Linked DNA regions of Sus scrofa. The protein of the gene in region 2 purifies or fractionates together with the protein of the main gene of each other region. This does not show direct contact. Links are inferred from orthologs where the notes say so. Each region holds a gene or a part of one and is shown on either strand. Other genes may lie near its edges.

Region 1 (7,605 bases), on a different chromosome or scaffold from region 2:
TGGGAGCCAGCTCCCCCTGGCTGCTGATGCCGAATCCTGGGTGTCTGGGAGAGCAGTGGTGCCCCAGCCTCGTAGGAAGCACGGGGCTGGACGCCCAGGTGGTCCTGAGGGAAGTGGGTCCAGCAGAGGGCAAGGCTGGGCATGGGATGGAGCTGAGCAAGGCCAGAGGGAAGACGTGTTTGGGGCCACTTACCAACAGCCTGGATCCCCATCAGAGCCGCTGGAAGGGAGGTTGGAGGGGTGGGAGGGACAGAGTGAGGGCCTCACACCTCTGACCCAGAAACCCCGCTAGCTAGGAAGCAGGGCTCTGAGCCGAGGGCCTGGCAAGGTTCAGGTCCCTGAGGTGGGCGGGGCCCCAGACGCCTCAGGTCCAGGCAGGGGGCCAGCCCTTCGCGCTCCCCAGAGGCCTGGCTAAAGGTTAAAGGATGGGTGACACCCCACAGGGTCAGGGCTGGTGTGGGGGCGGCAGGTAGGTTCCTGGGGTGGGCCTAAGAGGGTGGGGCTGAGTGTGCCAGAGGCGGAGACCCTGGGGGATCAGGCCGGAGGGCAGAAGCCCCACATCCCCCGAGGAACAGGGACTGGCCCAGAAGTTGGAGGCCTCCCAGTGGCTGAGCTCAGGGGTCAGAGGGCAGGGCTCAGGCCCCTGCATCCCCGAGGAGAAGGGGTCACTCACCGAGGAGGCAGGCCAAGACCCTCATGTTTGCAGAGTCGGGGCGGGGATGGGGTGAGAGGGGACTGGAGCCGGAGAGGGAGGAGGTGGCGGCCACCGCTGGGAGGAAGGGAGGGAGGGCCGCGCCTGCCTGCTGAAGGCGCCTTGGACCCAGGGAGGAGCAGGCTGGGCTGGACGCTCTGCCAGGAGGAAGAGAGGCTGCCGAGGAGGCAGCAGGGGACAGGAGTGGGGGCGGGGAGGGGGCTGGCCGGCGCCTGAGGCCTGGGGAGGAGGGCGTTGGCAGGCGGGAGGGAGAGTGTCCAACTGCAGACACCCACGCGGGAGAAGGGCGGCCCGGCCAGGAGAAGGCACGCTGGGCTGAGATGCTCAGGGGTCGGCAGGCTGCGGGGAGGGATCCGAACTGGGGTGCACACGGGGGTGCGAGCATGGGGCGGGGCTCAATCTCCTCTCTGTTCAGCCAGGGAAGGCTGGTGGGACCAGGGAAGAGGGCTCTGAGGGTAGATGCACTTCAGCCGCCCCGGTTAGGGACCTGGCACATCTGGGGCTCAGGGCGCAGCAAGAGATGTGCAGCCAGACTCCAGGAAGGACTTTCTTGATTGAGACAGGAGACTAAGAAACCCCTCTCTCCACTCCCCTGGGGGATGTGCACACAAAGTCCCCAGCCCGCATCTGAGGGAGGGGAGCAGTGGTCGAGCTTGTGTGTCTCCTGAGGAAACTGAGGCCAGGGGTTGGGCCAATCGAGGGTCAGGCCTGAGTGGGGGAGGGCAGCCCCACACTCTCTCTCTGCACCAAGCAGCTGTGAGGCGGAAAAAATGCAGTAATGGGGAGCGTGAGTCAGAGGGCTGGCAGGGAGCAGGGCCGCCGCCGTGAGCTCACTGCATCCCCCGCTGCCAGTCCAGCACCCCCACCGACAGCTAATGTCAACCCTGGGAAAGGAGGAGCCAGCCAGAAGCGGGGGTTCAGAGACGGACTGGAAAAGGCATCAGAGAGAGAGAGGGAGATGGGCTCACAGCAGTTTCAGGTTTTATTAACAAACGAGTGTAAAAAACTAGATGGGTCTGGCTGCCCCGCTCGGCTCTCACCTTCCCAGGGAAGGGCTGGCCTGGCCGGGCAGCCCTGGGCCCACTGCCCCCCTCCCCTGGAGCTCTCTCCAGACAGACAGCCCTCCTCTGCCAAGGCTCTGCTCACCCCATCTCTGCTGCTTCTGCAGCCCCACCCCCTCCAAGCACAGGCATCAACCCCATCCAGTTCCCCAGGGGCCTTGTCCCATGAGGGGTGCCCCCGCCACGTCCTAACCCTGGGGGGGGCGTACTCGCTTAGCCTCCCTCTTCCCGCCGCACATCTCCCCAGGCCCGTGGCACAGGTGGCACAGGCGTGGCAGCCAGACGGGGAGGTCTCCCCGTGCAGAGAGAACCCGAAGCAGGGGCTGGACAGCGTGACCTCTCTGACAAGTTCAAACATGACAGGCAGACGTCAGACTGCGGTGAGGTCTCTTGCCTTCTGGCGGCCTCAGTTTTTAGGCCCTGAGTGGGCAAAGGGAGGGTGTCAAGTCGCCTGTGCACAGCAGCTGCTCTCTAAGCACTGGCTTCCTCCCTCTGGGGTCTGGAGTCACAGGTCCTTGCTGAATTCCCTCACCAGCGTGTAGCCCATGCAGCCCCAGCTCCCCTCGGCCTGGTAGCCGCAGCCCTCCAGCATCCCTGCCACACCCCACGCGGCCACGGCCACCGGGACCACGAGCCGGGCCCGGGGCTCCCCCATGCCACCTGCCCAGGCTCGAGCCCGAGATTCGGCAAAGGCCAGTAACCGCCTGCCCACACCTTGGCGGCGGTGCCAGCGAGAGACAGAGAGGCGGGTGACCCGGGCCCCATCCCCAGCGCTAGAGCCTGGGGCCAGAGCCAGGACCCCGCACACATCCCCCGAGCCCCGCACGGCCACCCAGGGTCCCCCTAGGCCACCCGGTGGGGGCAGCGAGCCCCACCGGGCCCGCAGACCCAGCTTCATGGCCGCCACAGCCAGGAACACAGGCAGGAGCAGGGCCAGAGCAAAGGAGGCCAGGACGAAGCGCAGGCCGCTGCTGGCAGCCGCCAGGAGGAGCAGGGCTGGAGGCCGCGTGAGGGCGTGGAGGGCCACTCGGTTCTCTGTGTCCTTCACACCAGCCTGCGGGCAGGAGGAGCAGTCAGAGCGGTGGGGCTCCCGTGGGGAGCAGGGACTGGGAGGGGGGGCGGACCCTGCTGGGGAGGGATCTGAGGCAAAGGGATGGCACTGAGCTGGGGCCTGTGGCAGAGGGGCTTGCGGGCACATCTGCCGCACAGGGGTTTAATGAGCAAGCAGGTGACTCAGGAGCTTGGCGGCGGCGGGTGTGTGTGTGTGTGGGGGGTCCTAATTCAGTGGAGACACAGGCCCGAGGCACCAGAGAAGGCTAGATGGAGGAACTGCCCCAAGCCAGAGCAGGATCACAACCCTGGACAACAGGAGAGGAAGCTGGAGGGGGAACCTGGGGGCACTCGAGGGCTAGGCTGAGGCCCGAGGGCTCTACTTTGAAGAGTGTGGGCGAGGAGGCTGGGGGCAGGGCAGCCTGGGAAGTGGGGAAAATAGGGAAGGAGTGGGTGCGTGGTGGGCTGCACAGCCCTGGAACCGTTAAAACTCTTCTGGACCCCCAGGGCACACAGAAGGTACTAAAAAGGGAAGGGGCCAAGCCAGGAAGTCCCTCAGGAGGAAAAAATAGCTCTCCAGGGATCAGGGCTGGCTCAGCGCGGCTGCAGCCACTCACCCCCGCCCCTTCCCAGGCAGGGTTCCGGTGCCCCCTCATTCTGTCCCCGTCTCCTCCAGAGCACGCGGGTGTCCAGCCCTCCCTCACTGCCCTCCACCCTCTCTGGCTCCTTGGCGCCCCGCCACCCAACGCCCCAGGCCCCCTGGCGGCCCTGCCCATTCTCACCTTCAGCATCTCCAGCACTAGGGGTTTCTCATCTTCCCTCATCTCCCGCACTGATAGATGGCTGGGTGCCATGGCAGCCCCCAAGCTCCTGCGCCCCCAAGGGAGCAGGCGCGCACCTGGCGAAAATGAGCAGGTCAGCGTCAGGAGGGCACCTCTGCTCCCCAGAGCGCCCCAGAGCTGCGGACCCGCAGCAGCATCTCCCGGATGAGAACAAGGAGGACAGTCGCGGCCCCAAGCGAGGTCCGAGACAGAACAGGGTTCCCTCTCAACCCGACCACCACTTTAAAGTCTCCCGGGAGGCCTCTCGGCCCCCAGGGGCGTTCAGCGATCTACGCCTGAAGGCCCCGTGTACGCCAGCACTTGGCAAGGCCAGGCTCCCTCCCAAGTTCCGTGGCTGCCCGACGGGTGAACGAAACTCCCCCTACAGCCAGGGAATGGACCGAGCTCCCCACCCCCCAATCGCCCCCGAAAGGGGTCTGTCGCAGGCACAAGAACTTGCAAACACCTCTGCGGGTCACTTTGCTTTTGACAAGTGTGTGTGGGGGGGAAGCAGGGTCTGGAAGGAGTAGCCGGCGGAAGTGACGTAATACTCGCGCACTGTTGTGGGGGTAGGCAGCGCCTGCCCTCAGCCTTAGCAACCACGGTCAAGCTTCTGGAGGGGGGATGAGGAAGGAGGGCGTGGGCTGGGAAGAGACTAGGGCAGGAGCAGCGACCCTGCGGCGGGGAGAAAGGGAAATGGGGAAAGGAGGGCTGTAGAAGGACCAGAGCCGATAGGGGTTGGGGAGGGGGTGGGATGGGGGGGATGGGAACTGTGGACCCGGCAGGGTGGGGGCGGGGAGCGGTACTTACCCGACGCGCGAAGGAAACACACGCTGGCCTCCCGAGGTCGCCTGGTTGCTCAGCAACCGGAGCGCAGGGGGGCGGGACGGCGAAGAGAGCGGATCAATGCTCATTGGTTCCGGAGCCTTCGCGGGAGGGGCCACGTCAGCATCCTGAGCCCTCTCGCTCTCACACTGGCCAACCCTAACCCACCCGGGCTCGGTGACTTTCGTGATGCGCATTCCCACCCACTCATCCATTTTTCCGTGTGGGGGGGTGACTTACGGCGAACAAGTGCCGGAGCAAGGATTTCCAACGCATCCCCCTATAATGATCCCTGCATCTCTTCTTTTTAGGGATAAACAGAGCCCCACATAGGAGAAGCGTCTGGCCCCAAGACGCAAAGCAAGCCACCTGAGAACCAAAACACAAGTGAGACTCCAAGTTCCCAGATGGTGGCTACGGCCATAACAAGGACCTCCCAGACCACCAATAAAACAAAAGCACAAGAAAGACGATTCTGGTCTTTATTAGCAAGCCCAGCCTGCAGCTCCCCTGCCCACAGTTCAGCTCAGCCCAGCCAATGCGGACAGTGAGTCAGGGTCTCTGTGTGGGGCGGGAAGAGGTACCAGTGGTTCTACTCAAAACGTGTGCACCAGCTGGACTGCGGGCAGAGTCTGGACAATCTGGATGGAGGGTAGGCCCTGTGGGGTCATACCCCCAGGTGCAGCTCCAGCAGGGACCACTTGGACCATCTGGGAAGCAGGAGCCCCAGGGATGCCCGCTGGAGTAGAGGCTGGGCCCGGTGGTGGGGTCAGCAGCTGCAGTGCAGCGGTACCTCCCCCCACGCTACTGTTCTCCAGCAGGTCGGTGGCTGCAGCACTGCGGATGATGAGCAGTTTCTGTCCCGGTGGGCCAGGGGCTGGAGGCTCTGCCAGCCCTGGGGGTAGGGTCTCTACCTCCTGCACGCACAGCTGCGTCTGCTCCCCGTCAGCCCCGCTCAGCACTAGCACACTCTGCAACCCCTCATCCGTCTGCAGCGTCTCCAGGAGCACATCCTGGACCACACCTGTGCTGGCCTCACCATCACCAGGCTCCCCAGAGCCAGGTGCTGCCAGCAATTCCTCAGCTGCCCCACCTTGAACCACCAGCAAGTTAGGGGCCTCGGTGGCCACGGCTCCCCCACTGGAACTGGACAGCTGACCTGCCACAGGCTGGAGCTGGACCGTGGTCACCTCCTGGGCCGGCTGGAGCTGGACCGTGGTCACCTCCTGGGCCGGCTGGAGCTGGACCGTGGCCACCTCCTGGGCCGGCTGGAGCTGGACTGTGGTCAGTTCCGGCGCTGGCCGAAGGGGCTGGAGCTGGACCCCACTCACTTCCTGTGGCCCTGTCTCCCCACCCCCCACATTCTGCAGAACTATAAGGCTCTGCCCACCTGTGCTGGCTGTGGTGTTGCTCCCTCCCTGAACCCCCAGTCCCCCAGGGCCTGGCAGCCAAACGACCCCAGCCCCCTGACCAGCCTTCCCCACTGTCCCTGGGCCCTGCCTTGCACGGCTGCCCCCACCACCAGTACCAGAGGGAAGCAGGATGAGTTTGGGGGGTGCAGGTGGGGGCGGGGGTGTGGGGGGCTGGACGCTGCTGGGAATCAGCTGGAGGCCCTGTGCGGTCTGCACCAGGAGAAACGTCTGGGAATTGGGGGCTGCTGGGCCCAGCGGTGGGGCCTGGGCCGTACCCCCTGCCACCTCTAGGGAGAGTGTGGCTTGGAGGTGGGGGAGGACGTGGACATCTTGGGTAGCAGAAGGGGCTGGAGCGGCAGCCAGTGGGGCAGGGGGCTGGGGGCCGGCAGGGGGGACTGCAGAGCCAGAAGCGGTGTTGGCCGGGGCATGCGTCCTCAGGTGCCGCTGCAAGTAGGCGGCCATGACAAAGCTGCGGCCGCAGATGGGGCAGGCGAAGGGCCGTTCAGCAGAGTGCGTACGCTGGTGCAGCAGCAGGTTGGAGGAGTGCGTGAAGGTCTTGGGGCAGAGCGGGCAGCGGAACGGCCGCTCGCCCGTGTGCACGCGCTGGTGCTGCCGCAGGTTGGAGGTCTGGGCGAAGCTCTTGCCGCAGACACCACAGGCGTGGGGCCGCTCGCCCGTGTGCACGTGCCGGTGGCGCCGCAGGCACGACGTGTTGCGGAAGGCTTTGCCACACTCCCCGCAGGCATAGGGCCGCTCGCCTGAGTGCAGCCGCAGGTGGTACTGGTAGTGCGAAGACCACTTGAAGGTGAGTCCGCACTGGCTGCAGGTGAAGGCCCGCAGGCCCGTGTGCACGCGCTGGTGGATGGCCAGCAGCGACGAGCGCTTGAAAGCCTTGCCACACTCGCCGCACTGGTAGGGCCGCTCGCCTGTGTGATCCCGCAGGTGGTAGCGCAGTCCCGACGAGCCCTTGAAGGCTTTCCCGCACTCGGCGCACTTGTACGGCCGCTCCACAGAAGCGGGGGCGGGCGTGGGGGCCGGCGGGGCGGCGGCAGGGGCCAGGGGTTCCTGGGGACAGGTAACCTCAGCAGCCTCGGCCTGCGGGGGCGGGCGCCCGGCCGCGGCCTCTTCCACGTGGCACTGCTGGTGCGCCAGGAGGCTGGCCAGCTGCGGGAAGGCGCCGTCACAGCTGCCGCAGCGGAAGGCCTGCCCACCCGCAGCCCCGTGGCTGTGCTGGTGGCGGGAGAGGCCAGCCACCGTCCGGAACGACTTCCCGCAGGGTAGGCAGGCGAAGCCGGGGGCGGCGGCGGCGGCGGCAGGGGGCTGCGGCAGGGGGGAGGGCGGCGGCGGCGGCGGCGGCGGCGGCGGGGCGGCCTTGGGAGCCTCTGTGGGCGCGTCCTGGGGCGGCGGTGGGGGCGGCGCCTCCGGCCCGGGGCAGGGCTGGTGCTCCAGGAGCAGCTCCTCGCTGCCAAAGCCCAGCTCGCAGCCGTCGCAGCGGAACACCAGCTCCACCGTGGTTTCGGCCGCGGCCAGAAAGAGCTCGGGCACCACGGGCGGGGGCGCTGGCGGCGGGGGCGCTGGGGGGCTGGGGGGCTGGAGGTGCCGCTGCAGGTAGGCCTCGGGAACCAGGCCCTTGCTGCCAGGCTCCCGCGGGGGGCGGGGGCGGCGCCGGGGGCGGGGGCAGGCGCGGCGCTGCCGTGGGTGCGCTGGTGCAGCAGCAGGTTAGA
Region 2 (7,035 bases):
ACTGCAATCTATAAACTGACAATCATATACCACAGTAGAGTTAGAAAACAAGGTCTAGTTTGTCCCTACAGTCTCAGCTCCTTCTCAATTCCTTTTTCTTTCCTGCATTAAACACTTCAGAGGAAAATAATTTGATTGACTTTACAGTAGAGTTGTGGTTAATCTGCTAAAAATGCATTGTGCCTCATGGGAATATTTTTCTAAGAATTAGTTCAATTTCATCTTTTATTTACATTTTTTATAGGGAGCACCTAAGAAAGAATTAGTTGAGTTACCAAAAGTCACTCCATTGATGGAATTGCCCATTTCATCATAGTTCAGCCCTAAAGTTTAGCCAAGATCTTATGAGGTGATCACTATCCATGTGAGGTATAAGTGCTCTTTATTCTTTTTTAAAATGATTTTTATTTTTTCCATTATCATTGGTTTACATTGTTCTGCCAATTTCTTTATTCTTGTTTAGAATAAAATCTTGGTTTTTCATAAGAATTTAGAAATTTGCTTAGTAAAATATCTGTGCTGTGGCCATGTGAAATTGTGATTATTCTGAAACTGGCCTGTCTTTATTCTGACACCAGATTTTGTATGAAATTTCTAGAGCTAGACCAACTCCTCAACACTCTCTGGACCAGAAGTGCCTGTATCAGAAAAGATAAAATCCATCAACTTCAAAGGAAACAAAACAACCAAACAATCCATGATTGGGACTACCCTAATCTATCTATATCCGTGGACCACGAGTCAGACGATGGTCCACTTTCCTGGGATCAGGTATTGTCACTATTCCTCTTTTATCATCATTTGCTACTGTCAAGGGAAGTAGCTGTGAAAATTCTATCAGAATTGTAGTAAATTTAAAGGATAATGTATATTTCCTTAAATGTAAAAATAATCTATTTCCACAGTGTGGTCAGGGTTTTTTTTTTTTTTTTTTTTTTCTCTTTTACAAGTGGATCTCTGCAGACATAGACTTGAGGCCAAGATATTTATAAGAATGATCCATATATTGCTCTTTCCTCCATTGGGTCCATACTGGATGCATGAATAATTAATTCAGCAAACATATGAGAGCATTTACTGTGTGCTAGTCATCATTGTGTGCTAGTAATGGAGTTCTGAACAAAAACAGGCTCAGTTCCTAGGAGACAATGGGGTAGTGATATTATAGAAACATATTATATAAATAATAATATAAAAACTTACAATGAATGAACACTTAAGAGTTAGATTACAAAGAGATTACTTTGTGCTGTGAACAAAAGACAAATATATGTATAGTAGGCAGCACTGAGGTTTTTGAGAAGAGGTGATAGCTCAACCTATAAATATATTCATATCCTTATTTCCTAAAGTTGTATATTCACTAGTCTAACAAATAATTCTTGAAAAGGGGTTCTGTGGTCAAATCTGTTGGATGGATAAGTTAAATACTAGAGATGCATATGGCACTGTAGCCTATCAAAGTGTCTGGGGAGGTCTTTCAGTAAATAAAATCCCTTAATCTTATTGAATCTGTTATTTTTCAGACTCTGATCATAGAAACCTTCCCTGCTCTAATTATGTGAAATATTAAACAATGATGCAAACTATTCCATTTAGAATGGATAAGCAATGAGGTCCTACTGTACGGTACAGGGAAGCTGTATATATATATATATATATGTATGACTGGGTCACTTTGCTGTACAGCAGAAGTTGGCACAACATAGACAATCAAGTATATTTTCATAAAAAATGAAATCTTAAAAGACGGATATTCCGTGATAATGGCTTCCATTTATTGAGTACTTATTATGCATTAGGCACTGCACAATTTTCCTGCATTTTTTCATTCAATTATTACAACAACTATATGAGGTTAGGTTATATTAGTCCATCCTCCAGATGAAGAAACTGAGGTGGAGTTGATAAGTAGTTGCTTAAGTAAAGGGAAACTGAGGATATATATGTAGGTTGTCCAGTAGCTTATGCTGGGCTCTTTACAGTGATGTTATTGTCAGAGAAATGTTGCTTTAAAGAAATGTTACAGGAGTTCCTATTGTGGCTCAGTGGGTTAAGGACCCAATGTAGTGTCTATGAGGATGTGAGTTTGATCCCTGACTTCACTCAATCCATTAAGGATCCAGCATTGCCACAAGCTGCAATGTAGGTCACAGATGTAGCTCAGATCCCTACAGTATTGCTGTAGCTGTGGCATAGGCTGAAGCTGCAGCTCTGATTTGACCCCTAGCCTGGGAACTTCCATATGCTGCAGGTAAGGCTGTAAAAAAAAAAAAAAAAAAAGAAAAAGAAATGATACTTTTTAAATTTATATCTTGGATGAGTTAGTGTTCCAATTAAGTGCAGTCTGTATTTTTTTTCCTTCCATACTCCTAACAATAATGAATGTTGCTCCTCTAAATTATAAATACGTGATTGGGTGATCTTACATATCTTTGCTCTTATATTTTAAAAAAGTAAATTTCTGTTAATGAGGCCTTACAAAAAAGGCATCAGTTAAAGCTGATTCTTTCAAAGTCACACTTAGTGTATTCAACTGCAGGTAACAAGAGTGGCTGCCAACATTAATCCTTGAAATCTCCTTCAATGTTCTTTCAGGGCCTGTTCTTAGGAAGGGAACACATTTGTCTGATGGAGACCCTATTTGCCTAAAGAATGAAGGTTATTAAATGTAGGGGTTATCTACCTAAGGCAATTATCTTCTGAGAATAGTAATGAGCATTTTCTGTGCTGACCATGCAAAAGAAACACAACAGCCTCTTTCTCCACTCTTCTCTCTTCTAACATGCCACTCTTTGGTGACTCTCGAGGAGTCCCTAAGGTGGGGACTGGATGTGAAGATCCTGCATGTATTATTTAGACCAGTAATTCTTGCAGTGTTGTCCCTGGACCATCAGCATTAATAGCACCTGGGACCTTGTTGGAAACAGAAATTCTCAGGTCCTTGCCAGAATCCACCACATCAGAAACCCTGATTGTGGAGCCTAGCACTCTGTCTTTTAACAAGTTCTCCAAGTGGTTCTCAAAACTAGAGTTCTGGAAGCAACACTTTAAACATAAAGTTTCCACAGACATCTGTTCAAATCAACATAAGCATACAAGGATATTGAAATTTTATAAAAAGTAAATTATATGGATGAATATAAAGCTACTTTAAAGGTTATGGGCTGGGGCAATTGACATTTTCATTCTATTTTCTTCCTTATCAAAAACATTTTATCTTCTAGAATTTTGTAGAATATAATGAATCACCGTTAAGGACATTTGGATTAGTGATTTCAGAGGAATGTCATACAACCATGAGCTAAATAGCACAGGACTAGCAAGTAAATATCAAGGGCATAGAAGCTTATAATAGAAGAGCCCGGAGTTCCCATCGTGGTGCAGTGGTTAACGAATCCGACTAGGAACCATGAGGTTGCGGGTTCGATCCCTGCCCTTGCTCACTGGGTTAACGATCCGGCGTTGCCGTGAGCTGTGGTGTAGGTTGCAGACGCGGCTCGGATCCCGCGTTGCTGTGGCTCTGGCGTAGGCCAGTGGCTACAGCTCCGATTCGACCCCTAGCCTGGGAACCTCCACATGCCGCGGGAGCGGCCCAAAGAAAATAGCAAAAAGACAAAAAAAAAAAAAAAAAAAAAGAAGAGCCCTACTCTACCAGAAGTTAGTGTGAGGCTGGAAACTGTTCAATTCCTCGACCGTGAACTGGGGAAAGACACACGGCCTTCTGTTCATGTTTATTTCAGCACCCTTTTATTTCCCAGTCAGGCATTTTTCAATAAGCATATTTATTATGAAGGATTCTTCATCAGAGGTTTGTTATAAGTTTTCCCTTAGTGTTGCTAGTATTCTTAAATGACGAAATCATTATGTTCCATGATTAGTAAATGGTGCAAAAGAGAATATTGTCTTTGGTGTAAATAATTTTGATAAAGGGGGAAAAAAAAATCACAAGGTTAGCTTTCCACTCTTGCTTCTTGCTGTAGAAGCCTTTGGAGTTTTGGTCCGATCCCTTTCTGAGAAATGCCTTCCTCACCCATAGGGCTGAGTTCAGCAGCGGTGTTTGAATAGCATGATCTGACCTTCTATCTTTGGGGTCAAACCGATGGAATCGCATAGGCAGCTGGCCCAAGAAAGCCCATCCTTGGCTTTGCCGAACCCATCAGATCTGTCAGGACTTGTAGACTCAATCCCAATCTGGGACTGAAAGGTCACTTTAGAGTTGGGGCCATGCATGTATACAAATGGCCATGTATTAATGAAAGAGAGAAGGCCAGAATCTTAAAGGATATTTACAGAGGGAAAGAGAAAGGAGAAAATACTGAGCCTGGAAGAGACAGAGAAAGAAAACGCTTCGGTCCTATCTTCCAGCTTCCAGTTGAGCTTCCCTTCACATGTGGCTACCCCTTTTAATCTTAGATCTCTTCTATAACCTTAATACATTGTCCTTATGGTGTCTGATGATTCGAGGGGCTTCTGTTTCATGCAACCAAATATTTCCCAGTCAAGATAAAAATTTTTTAACTCTTGGAATCGTCCCAAAGGATATTTGTGTGGGGAAAACCAGGAAATGTGTCATCATTGTTTTCTGATTAGCTGTGTGCCTTTGTTTAAAATCCCTCCTTTCTACAGCATGACAAATCAGATGATCCTTATACATCACTGATTGTTTAAAAAACCTTATTGTAAAGATCACAGTGATCTTGCATTGGGGTCTTATTTCGATAAATACATCCAATTGCGCTGGCAAAACTATACACTATTCTCATCTACATATTAAAACTTTTAGATGTAAGGTTTTTTTCCTTTTATGGCAACACCTATAGCATATGGCAGTTCCCAGGCTAAGGGTCCAATCTGAGCTACAGCTGAGGCCTAAGCCACAGCCACAACAACACCAGATCTGAGCCACATCTGGAACCTACCCTGAAGTTTGCTGCAACACCAGATACTTAACCTGCTGCAAGAGGCCAGGGATTGAACTTGCATCCTCGTGGAGACTGCCTTGAGTCCTTAAGTCACTGAGCCATAATGGGAACACAATGCATCTGCGACCTACACTGCAGCTTGCGGCAAGGACAGATCCTTAACCCACTGAGTGAGGCCAGGGATCGAACCTGCATCCTCACAGGCATGGTATCAGGTTCTTAACCCACTGAGCCACAACAGGAACGCCTAAATCAGAGAGTATTAAAGCTATGATCTCATTACCGCAGAGCTCCTGTTTATCATATGAAGTTTTAGCTTTGTTAACACAAAGCCATCCCCACTGAAAACCACCAAGAGCGTCATGGCTTCCTTAGGCTGCTGGTTAGAATACCAGCCAACACATTGCAAGACATGGTGCAACTTTTCAGGAAAGAAAAACCTAAGCAAAACTCCTACTACCTAATACTCAAAATGAAAGTGGGATATAGTTAACTTTAATCAGAGGTGAAAAAATAATCCTCAGGAATGAGTTAGTGACTAAAGGTTGCAGAGAAACACATGTAGTAATAATAACATCACATGTGGACTTAAGCCATTCGGTTTTGTTCTGACTCCTCAAGGATGTAGGTGGAGGGTGAATTTGGTTCAGTGCTGAAGGTGGTAAAGATGGATGTTTTTTCTGTACAGACTTGCTTCTCTGCCAGGCAGTTGGTGGAGATATTTCTACAGAACCGGCTTTCACCCATTTCTAAAGAAGACTTTAAGCAAATGAGTCCAGGAATCATCCAGCAATTGCTCAGCTGCTCTTGCCAGCTGCCCCAGGATCAAGCAGCAGAGCTGTCACCCACCACTCTGGAGAGTAAGTTCTGGTTCTTCACTCTGGAAGCCAATGCATACAATGTATATAATAATAATGGTGACTGAAGGATACTTAGGATATACCAAGCCCAAGCACTGTTCTAAGTATTTGACACTGATCAACTCATTTAGTCCTCACAACAAGGCTACCAGCTAGAAATTATTATTAACTTCACTTTAGAGATAAGGAAACGGAGGCCCAGAGAGGTTAAGTGACTTGCCCAAGGACACACAGCTGCTAAATGATGGAGTTGGGATGCAAACCCAGGCAAGCTGGCCCCACAGTCCTTGTTTTCAACCACCTATGTTCTAGCACTTTCAACAAATATTTTATAGTTTGGATCTAATTTATCTAAATTGATTTTATTCCCTATATTCAACTCAATCATGGCCAACTGAAAAGTCCATCGTTGAGAAGGGACATGGTATAAGGGGAAGGATGCCCATGTTGTGATGCTCTTAAACAATCTCTTTACTTCTCAAGCCTGTCTCTTTCTCTGCATGTTGGGAAAGAAGGGATTCTACAGGGCTTCCTATCCTTTTATACATCGTGGCACTTATTAAAAAATGAAGGTGGAGTTCCTACTGTAGCATAGTGGGTTAAGAAGTTGACTGCAGCACTCACATCGCTACAGAGGTGTGGGTTTGATTGCCAGCCCAGTGCTGTGGGTCAAAGGATCTGGCATAGCTGCAGCTGTGATATAGGTTGCAGCTGCAGCTCAGATTCAATTCCTGGCCTGGGAACTTCCATATGCTCTGGGTGCAGCCATTAAAAAAGAAAGGAAGGAAGGAAGGAGGGAAGGGAAGGGAAGAAAGAAAAATGAAGGCACGTTGGAGTAATCCAAAGAGGCTGCTCTGGGATGGAGGTGACCAAAGCAGGAGGTGCCAGCTTCGCAGTTGTGGCTGGCAGCCCCAGGAAATGAAGGGATCAGTAATCCACTCACCTGTAATCCATAGCATCACTGCAGTAGGTGAGCTCTATGCTAAGACTTCACCAGTAAAGTTCCAATGGGATAATATATACAAAAACGTGTCTTGTAAATTTAAAGCACCTGATATTGAAAAGACAAAAAAAAAATAATAATAATGGCCTGAGAACATCTATGATGGGTAGTAAAAATATGACAGTTACCATTTTTAAAATATCATCACTGACCTGAGGGCCTTACCTATATTTTTTTTTAGAACTGCTTTTCTTTCTCTTTGAGATAGTCTTCAGTGCCCATGATAGCAGAATTGTTCAGCTCCTTA
Region 3 (7,477 bases), on a different chromosome or scaffold from region 2:
GAGAGAGAGAGAGACAAAACACAAATACATAAATAAAGCACTGTTACACGGATTCATTCTATTTGACCCTATAAACTGTGTTCCTTTTCTGCAAATATATAGTAGATGTGTGATCTGAGAAATGTGCCTGGGAATGGTCTACAAAGCCTCTGAATTTTATCCTTACCTCGAGTAACATTTCCATCTCAGCTCTACAGTAAGGGGTAATTTAGCTAAATGTTTTTATTTATTTATTTATTGGTTGTGCCCTTGGAATGTAGAAATTACCAGGCCAGAGACCAAACCTACACCAGAGCAGTGACTCAAGACTCCACAGTGACAATTCCAGATCCTAAACCTGCTGTGCCACAAGGGAACTCTGGTAAGTGTTTTTATTTTATTTTACTTTATTTTTTTTTGTCTTTTTGCCTTTTCTAGGGTCACTCCTGCGGCATATGGAGATTCCCAGGCTAGGGGTCCAGTTGGAACTAGATCTGCCAGCCTACGCCCCAGCCACAGCAACATGGGATCTGAACCGAGTCTTCGACCCACACCACAGCTCACAGCAATGCCGCATCCTTAACCCACTGAGCAAGGCCAGGGATTGAACCTGCAACCTCATGATTCCTAGTCGGATTTGTTAACCACTGCGCCACAACAGGAATTCCTATTTTATTATTTTATTTTTATTTTTTGTCTTTTTAGGACTGCACCTGTGGCATATGGAGGTTCCCAGGATAGGGGTCTAATTGGAGCTACAGCTGCTGGCCTATACCACAGCCATAGAAACACCAGATCGTTAACCCACTGAGCGAGGCCAGGGATTGAACCCGAAACCTCATGGTTCCTAGTTGGATTCATTTCCACTGTGCCACGACGGGAACTCCAAGTGTTTTTATCAAATACACAATTCTATAGTGGACTGTGTCATGGGATTTTATCCAAGGATCAACAGTATCCACAGACTTCCTTTGCAATGAACCTTTGCAATTTCAGAGAATTACTTTTCTACCTGTACAGTGGGGGCAATAGTACCCACTTCTGAGGGGTTGTAATGATTCATTATTCTCTTAGCCAGTACTTATGAAGTGCATATTTGGCATTGTTCTAGATACTGAAGATAAAGGAGCAAAGTCCTTGGTGTCAGGGTCTAAATTCTAGTATGGGAAACAGCAATGGACCGATACAGATATACTGAGGACAAATATATTGGTGAAAAGTGCTAAGAAGAGAGTAAGAATGGTGAGTAGTGACAGTGAGAGAGCCTGAAGCTTTTGAATTGATGTTCAGAGAAGGCAGGGACCTCAAGTGGAAGGGAGTAAGCCATGTGGATGTGATGGCTCACATGTCACTCACACCCTGCAGGCCTCTGTATCAGCAAGTAGGCAGTGATGCTGGGGCAGGGTGAGAGGCTGATGGCTGAGAACAGAGTAAGGGATGGAGGCCGTGTCAGGTAGCACCTGTTGGCCCATTTCATAAGCTTTCAGTTTTATTTTCAGTGAGGTGGGGAGCCACTGAAGTGTTTGAGAAAGCAAGTGGCAGAACTGGATCAAGGTTTTTTTGCCTGTTTGTTTGTTTTTAGGGTCACACCTGAGGCATATGGAAGTTCCCAGGCTAGGGGTTGAATGGTAGTGACAGCTGCTGGCCTATACCACAGCTCATGGCAACACTGGATCCTTAACCCACTGAGAGAGGCCAGGAATTGAACCTGCATCCTTATGGTTACTAGTCAGGTTCATTGCCGCTGAGCCACAAGAGGAACTCCAGATCTGGGTGTTTTAAAAAGACCTACGTATTTAAAAAAGGCCACTCTATTCACTAGACAGAGTGAGGCAGGAGACAATTTAGGTTATTAAAATATTCCAGGAGTTCCTGTCGTGGCTCAGCAGAAACGAATCTGACTAGCATTCATGAGGATGGACAGAGGTTTGATCCCTGGCCTTGCTCAGTGGGTTAAGGATCCCGCATTGCCGTGAGCTGTGGTGTAGGACGCAGATGTGGCTCCATTGCTGTGTCCCTGGCATAGGCTGGCGGCTACAGCTCCATGGGCCCCTGGCCTGGGAGCCTCCATATGCCCTGAGTGCGGCCCTAAAAAGAGAAAAACACACACACAAAAAACCACCACAAAGTACAAAACAAAACTATCTGAACACATTTTTAAAAGTCAAGTCCTTGCAGGAAAAGTTATAAATCATTAGGACAGAATTGTGATGTCACCTTTTTCTTTTTGTTGTGTAAATACCCCCTTTAAGGGGTTTCCACTGTTGTATGGAGTCAGAGAGCCTGGGATGGGAGCGGAGGGTCCCCCGCTTTGGGCAGTGCGGTGGGCTACAGGCAGGCGATGATCAGACCTAGCCGGACCCCTGACCCGCGCCGCTCAGCTGGTCGGCCCCGCCCAGACGGTGACGAGTAATGCGGCTTCAATTGCCCACCTCTAAGATGGCTGCAGCCTGCTCCGGGGGATGCTGGGAGAGCCAAGCGCCCGGGAGGGGGCAGGTCTGGGGGGCGGGTCCAGGGCTGGAGTGGGGGCGGGGAAGGCGGCCTCCCGGCGCTGATTGGCCGGCTCTGAGTGGCTGTAGGCGGGCGCGCTGGCCGGCCTGGACGTGAGGGCGGTGGGCTAGCGGCAGCAGTGGCGGCGGCGGCGGCATCCCTCAGCGGCTGCTCCCCTCCGCGGCTGGCGGCGAGGGCGAGGGCGAGGCCGGCCGTGCTGGCCACGGGATGAGGAAGAGGGCCGAGCCTGTCGCTCTGGAGCATGAGCGCCGCGCCGTCTCGGGCTCGCCCTCCGCCGGCTCGGCCGCCTCGGCGCTGGACGCCGACTGCCGCCTGAAGCAGAACCTGTGCCTAGCGGGCCCCGGGCCGGCTGAGCCGCGCTGCGCCTCCGACGCGGGCATGAAGCGAGCGCTGGGCAGGTGAGGAGCGGCGGGGGCGGAGCGGGAACCATGGCACTCCGGGACTGCTTGCCCTCCATCCCGCGTGTCCCCCGACCCTCTCAGGGAGTCCCTCTTCGCCAGGTGCCTCCCTCGTGGTCCCTTCTGGCCCCGCGCCCCTTCCTCCCCAGGTGGACCTGGGGGACCCCGCCGGCGACTGGTCGACTAGCGCGTGTCGACGAGGGTGGGGAGGCCTTGAACGCCCGGCGCCGACCCGGCGGGGCGGGGCGCTCGGACCGAGTGTCCCTCTCGCCAGGTGGGCTGTTCACTGGGTGCTCGAATCTCTTTGCGGCGTCCTCTCCTGATAAACTGCCGTGTCCTCGGGGAAGGTCGAGGGGTTGGCTGTGTGCTGGGTGAGGAGGTGCACCGCGTCCTGGGGGAAGGTCGAGGTGTCGGCTGTGTGCAGGGGCAGGGGATGCCGCGTCCTTGGGGATGGTCGTCCTTGTGTTGGGGCAGGGGGTGCACCGCATCCTTGGCTGCCGGGGGCAAGCCAGTCCTTCGCGAGAAGCTGGCATGTGGTGCGTGGAATGTGTTCACAGGAGTCATCTCCTTGGGAATCTTCGTCCCGTCCGGAAGTCACCTGGTTATTTTCGGCCTCCCTTTAGGGAGATGAATGTGTTTATGTTAAACTAATCTCAGTTGAGATGGGAACGTGTTTCACGCTTGCAAATTTCTTCCCTTGGGCTAATTTCTTAATTATCTGGCTGTTTGTAGAACAGATCACTTAGGGCAATTTTGAAGTCTTAATGTTTCATGGTGTTTGAAAAAGTTAGCATGAGGCTCAGGTGTTGTAGCGGAGCCACTTCTTCTGAGGTCAACTGGAATGCCCTTAATTGACAGTGGCCACTTTTGTGTAAAATATCCAAATAGCCCCTAAAAATATCAGTTTCACTGCACATACTCTAATATACAAAAGTCAGATCATGAAATTAAGCTATATACTTCTCTAAGTCAGTGGTTCCCAGTCCTGCTCAGGACTGACAGTATTTTTGTTTTTGTTGAAATGATTTAGCAGTGGTCACTGTCTTTTGTGAAACTAATCTCTTTTGTGGGAAGTTTTTCTGTATTAAAAACTCGTGATTGGCCTTACTGAACTTTTATTAACAGGCTTGGCATAACACTTAGGTTGGGAACTCTTCCTTTGAAGAAATCAAATTGTGATCTCGATAATGTTTGGGGAAACAGTGCCTGCCTGGCACTTTCCTTGAAAGATGTACTGTATTAAAAGGATCTGATTATTTTTATTTTTGAGTTGAGGACAAAGAGAAGCATTCAGGTAGTGCTGTATCCTTTTGATAATAAAAGGCTGTCATGGGAATAAAAAGAAAAGCAGAGGGTGGGAAGACCAAATTTGTGCATTACCCCTGGCTTCCTTCCCTTTTGCCTGAAATGCTCTTCTGGACATTTTCCTGCTATATTTTCTCCTTCAGCCAGGTCTCCACTCAACTGTCACCCCTTCAGAGGGGCCTTCCCAGACTAGCACATCCAAAATAGGCTTGGTGCCACCTTCAACCCCCGTTGTCTGTTTACTTATTTCTTCCTCACACTTATCCTTACCTGACAATATGCTTGCCTGCACATTTGATTTGCTTTATGGGTAGTCTCCCTCACAAGAACGAAAGTCCTGAGAGAGCAGGGACGTTGCCCTCTTGGCTTCTGGCTCCAGTACTTGGCACATAGTAGGTGGGAAGACATACTTGTTGAATGAATATCTAGAATGAATTCCTAGACATGGAATTGCTGGGCCAAGGGGTGTATGTTTACGACTTTGAAAGGGAAGGCCAGGAATTTCTGTTGTGGCTCAGCAATTAAGAACCCAGCCGGTATCCTTGAGGGTATGGGTTTGATCCCTGGATTCACTCAGTAGGTTAAGGATCTGGTATTGCTGTGAGCTGTGGCTTAGTTCGCAGATGCGGCTTGGATCTGGTGTAGCTGTGGCTGTGGTATAGGCCAGCAGCTATAGCTTTGATTTGATCCCTAGCCTGGAAACTCCATGTGCCACAGGTGTGGCCCTAAAAAGGGGAAAGGAAAAAAAAGAAAGAAAAAAAGAAAACAAAAAATGGGGAGGCCAAAGTGCCCTCTCAAGAAGTTGTACTGGGGAGTTCCCGTCGTGGCTCAGTGGTAATGAATCCGACTAGGAACCATGAGGTTGTGGGTTCGATCCCTGGCCTTGCCCCAGTGGATTAAGGATCCATTGTTGCTGTGAGCTGTGGTGTAGGTTGCAGACATGGCTCGGATCCAGCATTGCTGTGGCTGTGGTGTAGGCCGGCGGCTACAGCTCTGACTTGACCCCTAGCCAGGGAACCTCCATATGCCGAGGGTTCAGCCCTAAATAGACCAAAAAAAACCAGGTGTTTTTATCTTTCTTTTCTTGATTGATGAAAACACATATAACTTGTAGCTTTAATTTGCATTTCTTAATGGTTAAGTGGCAATTTTTGTGTGTTTTTATAAACACCTGTAAAATTTTCGTAATTATTTACTTCTTTCATGACCTCCTTTGTTTGGGTCCTCCTGCACATTCTTATAACTTTCTATTCTGCACATGCTCTAATATACAAAAGTAAAGAAGATGATATAATGAATCTCTGTGTATCCATCACTTTCTTTCAGTGGTTTTCTATGTTTTTCTAATCTTGAATCATCTCTTCCTCCTCTTCTCCATTTTTGGTATGGTGGGAAACTATTTCAAAACAACTTATTTCATCCATAATATTTCACAATATGTCTTGAACAAACGATTTTTTTGAAATATGTATATATATATAGCCCCAGTGCTGTTATTATATTGTCAAAATTAAAATTAATAATTTATTATTTGTAATCAGTTTAATATGTAATATCCAATCTACATACACATTTCCCTGTCTCAGAAATGTCTTCTTTCCATTAGTTTGTTTCAAAATCCTATACATTTCTTAAGTTTATTCCTAGTCATTTTATCTTTTTTGTTATTGAAAATAGGATTTTTTTGATATTACATATTGATACTAGTTATATTTATTAATCTTGTAACTAACAATTTACATAATCTTAGTTTCAAGTAGTTTTTGCAGTTAATTCTCTTGGATTTTCCAGGCATACTATCATGTCAGCTGCAAGTAATAAGACTCTTGGGGGTTCCTGTCGTGGTGCAGTGGAAACGAATCTGACTGGGAACCATGAGGTTGTGGGTTTGATTCCTGGTCTCCCCAGCTGGTTAAGGATCTGGTGTTGCCATGAGATGTGGTGTAGGTTACAGACACTGCTTGGATCTGATGTTGCTGTGGCTGTGGTATAGGCCTGCACTGTAGCTCCGACTGGACCCCTGGACTGGACTGGGCCTGTAGCTGTAGCTGGGAACCTCTATATGACATGGGTGCAGCCCTAAAAAGCAAAAAAAAAAAAAAGTTTTGTCTCGTTTTCTCCTTTTTTGTCTCTTGTTTCTTTCCCTTTTTTGATTACATTGTATTTCCAGATCAAGCGATGGTATTGGGTACCCTTGTCTTGTTCCTGACTTTAATGACAATTCTTTTAGTGTTTTTGCCACATTATTTTACGAAAGAATGTGTTGCTGCTATTTTGTCTTTTATTATTATTTATTTATTTATTTAGGGCTGCACCGACGGGATGTGGAAGTTCTTAGGCTAGGGGTCAAATTAGAGCTGCAGCTGCTGGCCACAGCCACAGCAGTTCGAGATCTGAGCCACGTCTGTGACCTATACCACAGCTCACGGCAATGCTAGATCCATAACCCACTGAACGGGGCCAGGGATTGAACCTGCATCCTCATGGATACTAGTCTGATTCATTACCACTGAGCCACAAAGGAAACTCTTGTTTGTCTTTTTTTTATTATTTTTTAAATTATTTTTTATTTTTTGTTTTTGTCTTTTGTTGTTGTTGTTGTTGCTATTTCTTGGGCCACTCCTGCGGCATATGGAGGTTCCCAGGCTAGGGGTCCAATCGGAGCTGTAGCCACCGGCCTACTCCAGAGCCACAGCAACGCGGGATCCGAGCCGCGTCTGCAACCTACACCACAGCTCATGGCAACGCCGGATGGTTAACCCACTGAGCAAGGCCAGGGACCGAACCCGCAACCTCATGGTTCCTAGTTGGATTCGTTAACCACTGCGCCACGACGGGAACTCCTGTCTTTTTTTTAAATCAGAAATGATTGTTTAGCTTTATCAAATGCTGTTTTAGCATTTGTGAAATGATCATATGGATTTTGTACATTGACTTGTTAATATACTGAGTTATAGTAATTTTAGATCTCATATTATTGAATCATCATTTTATATTGCTGAATCATTATTATTGAATCATCACTGATAACTCGCATCATGTAGACAGATTCTGTTAATACTTGGGAATTTTACATCATTATTTGTGAGATTAGTCTGTAATTTTCTTTTTTGGGGGTAATTTTTAATGCCATCTTCATCAAGTTTTAGTGTTTTCTATAGCTTTGTTAAAGATTTTGAGCAGCCTAGGAAAAGGGAGAAAAGAGTTGCAAACAATGTATCTGACAAAGGTTTAATCTCCGAAATATACAAACAGTTCATATAACTCAACAGCAAAACAAATAA

The links.
Region 1: the proteins of SLC39A12 (region 2) and NAT14 purify together in Homo sapiens (co-immunoprecipitation; 3 studies listed by BioGRID and IntAct, counting the BioPlex papers as one, with this or other methods). This does not show direct contact. The link is inferred for Sus scrofa from reciprocal best matches to the Homo sapiens genes SLC39A12 and NAT14.
Region 3: the proteins of SLC39A12 (region 2) and ABHD12 purify together in Homo sapiens (co-immunoprecipitation; 3 studies listed by BioGRID and IntAct, counting the BioPlex papers as one, with this or other methods). This does not show direct contact. The link is inferred for Sus scrofa from reciprocal best matches to the Homo sapiens genes SLC39A12 and ABHD12.

The regions. Positions count from the first base shown.
Region 1 is NC_010448.4:59,635,139-59,642,743, reverse strand, and holds NAT14 (N-acetyltransferase 14), read right to left. Parts: upstream 4,571-7,605; 5' UTR 4,455-4,570; intron 4,189-4,454; exon of another isoform or gene 4,111-4,188; intron 3,722-4,110; 5' UTR 3,678-3,721; coding exon 3,606-3,677; intron 2,828-3,605; coding exon 2,279-2,827; 3' UTR 1,677-2,278; downstream 1-1,676. Other genes in the region: soluble scavenger receptor cysteine-rich domain-containing protein SSC5D, read right to left, coding at 194-220, 674-1,097. UniProt on the Homo sapiens protein: Probable acetyltransferase. May act as a transcription factor that regulates the expression of coproporphyrinogen oxidase by binding to a promoter regulatory element.
Region 2 is NC_010452.4:44,271,471-44,278,505, forward strand, and holds part of SLC39A12 (zinc transporter ZIP12), read left to right. Parts: intron 1-598; coding exon 599-771; intron 772-5,613; coding exon 5,614-5,785; intron 5,786-7,035. UniProt on the Homo sapiens protein: Uniporter that promotes Zn(2+) import from the extracellular space to the cytoplasm across the cell membrane. The transport activity is temperature dependent. May play a role in neurulation and neurite extension.
Region 3 is NC_010459.5:31,051,371-31,058,847, reverse strand, and holds the start of ABHD12 (monoacylglycerol lipase ABHD12), read left to right. Parts: upstream 1-2,540; 5' UTR 2,541-2,697; coding exon 2,698-2,888; intron 2,889-7,477.